Mus musculus: one gene and its partner. The protein of the gene in region 2 binds, or shares a complex with, the protein of the main gene of each other region. Links are inferred from orthologs where the notes say so. Each region holds a gene or a part of one and is shown on either strand. Other genes may lie near its edges.

Evidence for each region.
Region 1: the proteins of Slc3a2 (region 2) and Slc7a10 are in contact, whole or in part, in a cryo-EM structure (PDB 8WNT), measured with the Homo sapiens proteins. The link is inferred for Mus musculus from reciprocal best matches to the Homo sapiens genes SLC3A2 and SLC7A10. Residues at the interface, in NP_002385.3 of Homo sapiens: Phe161, Thr162, Gly163, Leu164, Lys166, Leu169, Leu170, Val172, Ala173, Trp178, Arg182, Leu186, Phe189, Trp190, Trp193, Met196, Leu197, Ala200, Ile203, Ile204, Ala207, Pro208, Arg209, Cys210, Arg211, Glu212, Leu213, Arg534; in NP_062823.1 of Homo sapiens: Leu147, Val150, Phe151, Asn153, Cys154, Pro157, Ala160, Val163, Leu164, Met166, Ala167, Met170, Leu171, Trp174, Ser352, Val359, Glu481, Thr484, His485, Trp486, Gln488, Glu489, Leu490, Phe492, Val493, Val494, Tyr495, Gln497.

Annotation. Positions count from the first base shown.
Region 1 is NC_000073.6:35,198,998-35,201,611, reverse strand, and holds the end of Slc7a10 (asc-type amino acid transporter 1), read right to left. Parts: intron 2,388-2,614; coding exon 2,291-2,387; coding exon of another isoform or gene 2,269-2,290; intron 2,073-2,268; coding exon 1,923-2,072; intron 1,337-1,922; coding exon 1,159-1,336; intron 895-1,158; coding exon 761-894; coding exon of another isoform or gene 711-760; 3' UTR 501-710; downstream 1-500. UniProt on the Homo sapiens protein: Associates with SLC3A2/4F2hc to form a functional heterodimeric complex that translocates small neutral L- and D-amino acids across the plasma membrane. Preferentially mediates exchange transport, but can also operate via facilitated diffusion.
Region 2 is NC_000085.6:8,711,098-8,715,380, forward strand, and holds the start of Slc3a2 (4F2 cell-surface antigen heavy chain), read right to left. Parts: upstream 2,801-4,283; 5' UTR 2,656-2,800; coding exon of another isoform or gene 2,651-2,655; coding exon 2,245-2,650; intron 1,807-2,244; coding exon 1,633-1,806; intron 832-1,632; coding exon 737-831; intron 1-736. UniProt on the Homo sapiens protein: Acts as a chaperone that facilitates biogenesis and trafficking of functional transporters heterodimers to the plasma membrane.

The DNA of each region.
Region 1 (2,614 bases), on a different chromosome or scaffold from region 2:
TGAGTGCTTCCATGCAGGGTCCCTGGGGAAGATGGCCCAGTGGCTTCTGCCCCAGCCTTGTGCCTGTGGCAGCAGCATGGGCCTGGCTAGGCTGCATTAGTCCCCAAGCATTATGGTAAGGCTAAAAGTATATGAGATAGGATGACCGCAAGAGAGGCCAGTCTATGCCTTCTCAGGAGACAGAAGTCAAGGCACCAGCTGACAATGGAAACAACCATCCTGTCCTGCCTCAGAGACTCAGTTTCCCCACCTGAAGCCAGGGCTGTGCTATCAGAAGTTGTAGCATTCACTCTGGTGATTTTGGGGGAGGACAGTAGTCCCACTTAGGGATTTCTGGGTTCTCTTGGATCGCTGAGTCGTAGATGGAGCCTCACTGTCTCCTCTGGGCAGCCTCCAGTTCAACCAGCAAAACCCACTAGGGCTGAAAACCTTTTCCATGGCACCTTCCCAGCTAGCAGCCCATATACCGCGCTGAGGCATGTTTCCACGGACTCCCCTTGCACACAGCAACAACCAGCCCTGTTTATTTACAGGCATTTCTGGAGAAGCTAGCAGGGCATTGCTAAGGCAGGAAGCCCGACCCCAGTGGCCAGTCCCTTACAATAGGCCTCTAAGGGTTGGGTCTCTCTTTCTCTCTCTCTCTCTCTCTCTCTCTCTCTTTTTTTGCAGAAAAAAAATTTTTGAAAACAAAACAAAACACAACCCCCTTCTCAATAAACAACATGTAAACAGAATCGGCTGTTCCAGTCTCTACAAGGTCTCATTGTGTCTTCAAGGGCTTGTCCGTGATGGGCAATGGGGAGGGCTGGCCCATGGGGCCATTTTCCTCCTCCTCTAGGGAGCCCTGGGGGTAAACCACGAAACACAGCTCCTGGCCCCAGCGTGTCATGGACTCTAAGAACAGACAGACAAGACAGACAGATAGACAATGGCGGGGGCCAGGAGGGGAGCAATCCTTTAAGACAGGGATGACCCTAACTCCAGATACCTCCCTTGGGATGGGAGTTGCTTCTTTTGCAGATGAAACCTAGCCACATGTGTATGTAGCAAGAAGCTTTGAGGAAAGTCATTGGGTCCTGCGTCACCAGCCAGGCTGATAGAAGGCCCCGGCTCTGGGGTGGGATCCTACAAGAGGCATGGTGGCAAGACCCTTCTCACCTGTGAATCTGTGTACACACTTTGGTTTGCTTCTCCAGAACACTCCCAGGAAGAAGATGGGAACCCCAGTGAGGATAATGATGATGCCGACCCCACAGACCATGGGCTCCGAGATGAAGCTGAAGACCAGTAGGAATGCCCAGAACACCAAGTACACAACAGGAACGAGGAGGTTCACCTGTCGGAGAAAGGGTGAACAGGAGCACCAGGGAGCAACACCCTAGTTCTCCTGCCACCCAGGGGATTAGAAGCACTTTTTCCATCTCTTGGGAATGGGGCCCCTATGCTGGCCCCTCTGGTAGCTACCCAGTGTACTGGAGAGCAATTCCTGGGTTGACCAGTTGGCCAAACTGCTAAGGCTGTCTATTTGAGCAGTGCTGAGCTGTCTGTAACAGTTATACACAGAAAGCTGTTTACATTTGGCTGCAACTCAACTGTTTTTTTTTTCCATGCTTCAAATTTCAGGCCCTCTTCAGGATCCATATGCAGATGGGAGTCTTCTCTGTCACCCTTTCATGTGGGATCATGAGAATACCAGACTCTGTGATTGGCAGCCTCTGTGACCTTAGTCTCATTGCCCCTGTCTGTGTACTGGGGATATTAAAAACACTTGCTTCCTGGGGTTAGAGGAGATAACATGTCAGAGAGTGTAGGGTGGAAAGCTCTACACTCTGCAAATGCTATATAGCCCATTGTCCTCATCACCTATACCTGCCTCTAGTGCTCAACTTGGATGAAGATGGCCCTGTTATTTCCAGCCTCACCTTAATGGGCCTGTGGAGTGCCGGCCGTCTCCAGCGCAGCACAAGCAGGCCCAGGATAGTGACTCCGTAGCAGAGGTAGTTGATGAAGGACACATAGTTGATGAGTGTGTATGTGTCACCCACGAGCATGATGACCGCTGTGGCCCCGCACTGGGAGAGGACCGAGGGCTGACAGCTGGCCTCCCACCTGCTTCTGGCCATCCCTGGAGGCTGCTCTGGGCCTTCCCACTCAGGTCAGGAGGTCAGGTGGGTCCCAGCCCATCCCCACCCTCCATGGCTCATCTACCATAGGCAGGAATAAGTTTTGGCTATTATCCCCCCAAACCCCCATTGCTAGGTACACTACCTGGTTGGGTTTCCCAACTTACACAGACAAGGAGGGCAGGGATTGGGGTGCAGCGTCTGACATGAATCATGGCCAGGAAGCTGGGTAAGTGTCCCTCTCGGGCTCCAGAGAAGCATAGCCTAGGCACGGGGAAGAAAATGGATAAGGGCCAGAGCCTGGCCTTGAGGCTTCTCTGCTGTTTGCTAGAACCCAGCTGTCACATTGACCTCTGCCCTCCAGGCCCTACCAGCTCTCCTCATGTAGTCTGCCTCCTGGCTTTCTTTACTTCAAGACCAGGATCAGACATTTGTTACCGAGGATTCTCAGCATTCCCTTCCCATTGTCCCTAGCATGGCATGCACACAGC
Region 2 (4,283 bases):
GTTCAGTTCCCAGCACCTACGTAGCAGCAGCTCACAACTATCTGTAACTTCAGCTCCAGGGGATCCAATATCCTTTCTTGACTGTCCAATACCCTTTCTATTTTCTGTCTTGCCTCTGGAGACTCCTATAATCACCCAATTTGGCTCTTGCTAGTTGCTGGGAGATTTGTGTTCTAGATCTCCATTGCTGAGGATAACCTTAAACTCCCAAGTGCTGGGGTACCAAACATGCACATAGTGCACAAACACTCATGCATAAAAACAAATCTTAAAAAGCATTCATAGTGGAGTTAACTCTTTAAAAAATAATAAAATATGGGGGAAGATAAAATACCAGATACACAGTAAGACTCTAGTACTTATAATTTCAGACTGGGCTCAGTTCCAAATACATCAAACAAAAACTGGGAAACCAGTCAGGTCAGGGTTCCCACAGAGAAAGAAAAGACTTCCTATCACAAAAAGAAAAATTAAACTTCCAGTTCCAGACTGACATCTGAGAAATTCCCTTCCTGGCACAGCCTCACTTCTAGAGTAAAGGAAACACATACACACACACACACACACACAAAGCAGTCAGAACAGAAACAAGAAGAACACCGTGCACCTGGGCCTATCCCTCCGGCTATGGGAAGAGGTATTCCTGCTTGGGAGAACCACACAGTGCACAGGAGGCTTGCTGTGAATAAATCCACACAGCACCAACATCTGTATGCTGTCGGCCATAAAACCTCACCTTCATTTTGGTGGCTACAATGTCAGCCTGAGCAGGGAGGAACCACGCATTCTGGCCCTGGTAGTTGGGAGTGAGGTCCAAAATGATGTGAATGCCTAGAAAAATAACGAGTTGAGAGAACTCCTTTGGGGAAGAAGAGGAAACAAGGAACTTGAACACAGGTTACTAGGTGAACCTACATACGGTTTGCACAGAATCTGAAGGAAACCCACAAAAGCCCTCAGGTGGTTTTATACTAGAGCAGTTCCTCCTCCGCCCACACACACACACACACACAAGTTTCCATACTGAGGTTTTGGTTTCTTTCTTATTTTCCCCTCCCATGAAGTCAGGGTTCTGTGTATGTGGGCGGGCTGCCTGAGGATAAATAAGCCCCTACATCTCCTTCCCAAGTGTGGGGTTATAGGCACATGCTGCTTGTGTTGTGCTGAGGAATCAAACTCAGGTCTTCATGGATCCTAGACAAGCACTCTTACAAACTGAGCTACGTTGTCAGCCCTCTATAGTGAACTCTAAAGCAGCATTTGAATCTCTTCTATATATAGGATCTACTTTATACATTTAAAAGCCATTTATTTTATCGAGCCATGGTGACACACTTAAGTCTAGCACTCGGGACCAGGGGAGCTCTGTAAACTCTCATCCGGCCTGGTCATGGTAGTCAGGTACAGGCCAACCAATTACATGGTGAGACCCTACCTGAGAACCAAAACCAAAATAAATACATAAAAATTACGCTCACGCATGAAGCACATTTTTTAGTGTAAATCATAACATATTCCCCCTTGTGCCTGACACAAAAAAACTGAGCCAGTTAGGAGAAAAATCAGACAAAAACTCTATCCTGTTTCTGGGCCAGAATGCCAAACCCTTTCTAGTTCCTTAGAAAGACCTACTCTTTTTCTTGGCACTTTGTAGAAGGTCTTTAAAATCTTCCTGGGAGCCCAAAGTGGGATTAATCTGTTTCAGGTCGGTTTCATTGATTTCATCCTTCTGGTTCTTGTGAATTGGGCCTAACACCAGGCCCTTCACCTTCAGGGTGCTCAAGTACTCCAGATGGCTCTTCAGACCTAGGAGGAGAGGGTTGGGTTAACCAATAGGGCATGAAAAGCCTCCAGCCTCCACATTCTCTCCACCACTTCCCGACTCCCTCTGACGCGGGTTGGATCATGAGACAAAGTAGCTGACGCAAGGAGTCTCACACATTACTTCAGAAACTGGTTTGAACTGGCTCAGGGCCGCGTGGTTGGGGGAGGGGAGAGGAGAAAGATGATGTGCTGAGTCAGGCACCCTTAGGAAGAAGTAGGGGTCCGGCTAGCGTTTTTTTTTTTTTTTTTTTAAAGAAAGGGGGGGGGATTTTTGCCAGGGAGTCGTCCCAAAAAAAATAGGTTGCAGTAAAGAATCACCAGCGTTCTAGAGAAGACGAGGAGGAAGGAAAAAAGCAGCAGAATGCCCGATTAAACGAGGGATTCATGGGGGCAAGGGATGAGGGTGCACACCCTACTCACCAGCTATGCCTCCCGCATCCCGGCCTACAAAGGCCTGAAGGTCGCCGATGCGGTAGAGGGCGCCCTTGTGCCACCACCTCTGTACAGGCAGCTCACGGCAGCGCGGCGCCCGAACGATGATAACCACGGCGCCCGCCAGCATGCCCAGCCAACCGAGCCAGAAGAGCAGCAGCAGCGCCCAGCGGGTGCGCACCCAGCCAGGGCTGCCCGCTACCTTCAGTAGCTCCTCCTTGGATAAGCCGGTGAACTTGACCCCGGCCTCCGTCTCGTCCTCCGCCACCTTGATCTTCACCAGACCGTTCTTCTCCCCGGCCGCCGCCCCGTCCGCTGCATTCATGGGCTGCTTCTCCGGTTCTAGCTCGTTCAGCTCCACATCTTTCATGTCCACTTCGGTGTCCTGGCTCATGGTGCCTGCAGAAACGGTGACACGACACGGCCTGTAGTCAGTGAGGCAGCTCTAATCCTGCCTGGATCCCCGTTCAGAGAGGCGTCCCGTGGCCGTGAGGCTAGCAGAGCTTCCTAACTGCTTCTGCCGCTGGGCGGGTGTGGCGGCGGGGAAGTGACCCAGGACTCCGCCCCGGTCCGCCTCTTAAAGAGATGCAGAGAAGTCTTTTCGCACCTCCAGCCTCGCTGAATACTCCCGTCTATCCCTAACGCTTATTCCTGCAAGAGTCTGGGAAGGGGAGCTTGTGGTCAGAAACCCTTAGAATAACAAACGTGAATTTGTCTTGACCAGGTTTCAAAGCCCCTCCTCCGACCTTCCGGCCCCTTACCCTGCGAGGCCTCTTTTCTCTCCACAAGATGACACCAGTCTCCATCCACATCGTGATCCCTTCGCCCCAAGCACGGCTCAGGCTGATCTCCCCAACTTCACACAGACCTTGGCACTACATCTCACTTCTGCTTTACGTACATCTTCTCATACTCCGGACTTAGCTGAGTTCCTGGATTCTCCTCGGGGCTTACACGTACTCACCTTTCAAGACTCCTTGAATTTAATTCCTCAGGCAGCAACTATTTACTGGGCACCCACTCCAATCCTTTGCTTCATCAACTGCATAGGATCAACTCTAATCCGTTCTTCTTGATTTTAAAATTCAACTGCAGAATTGAAGTGGTCACTACCCTTATTATCTTACCCTAGTTACTAGCAAGAATGTTGGATTACTGGGAATCAGGCATCCAGAAGAGATTAATGGGGCTGTAATAAACATTCCGAAGGTATTGAGGCACCTACCCTTTTAATATACAAGCTGTTCTAACTCTTTTTTTCTTTTTTTTTTAACTATTTACTATTTTTTAACTATTTACTCACTTATTATATGTGACTACACTGTAGCTGTCTTCAGATGCACCAGAAGAACTATTTACTCACTTATTATATGTGACTACACTGTAGCTGTCTTCAGATGTACCAGAAGAGGGCGTCAGAACTCGTTACAGATGGTTGTGAGCCACCATGTGGTTCCTGGGAATTGAACTCGGGACCTTTGAAAGAGCAGTGAGTGCTCTTAACTGCTGAGCCATCTCTCCAGCCCCTGTTCTAACTCTTAACCACCTTGCAATAACTCTCAAACCCTCTAGTGTGCCGGGCTACATCAGTTGACTATGCTAGGCCCTGGAACCAGCTTAGTTCCCTCACACTTTGAAAGTTTCTCAAATTCCCCCGGCAGAGGTCCTTGGCAAGAGGAAGGGTAAATGGGGCAGACTGGGTTAGCAGCAGGGACAAGTGAAAAGTGAACATCAACTCTAGGAGGTGCCAACAATTTCAGGAACTTTGTGTTCCAATTAGGTTATTTTCAGAGAGAATCGGAAGGAAACAACAGGTCCTTTCTCCCTCTCCCCACGTAGGCCGGCAGCCAAGATTGCTATGTATTTGGAAGAAAGCAGAAGCCAAGGCCAGAACAGTAGAGAGGAAGGGATATGAAAAGTCTCATCACCTGCCACTGTCCTTTTGAATTCCCAAAGTCCTCCCCGGCCTCACTAGAGAAAAGTCTATACACCAGCTCCTAGGAAGAGGGAAGAGGCTAAGGGTCATG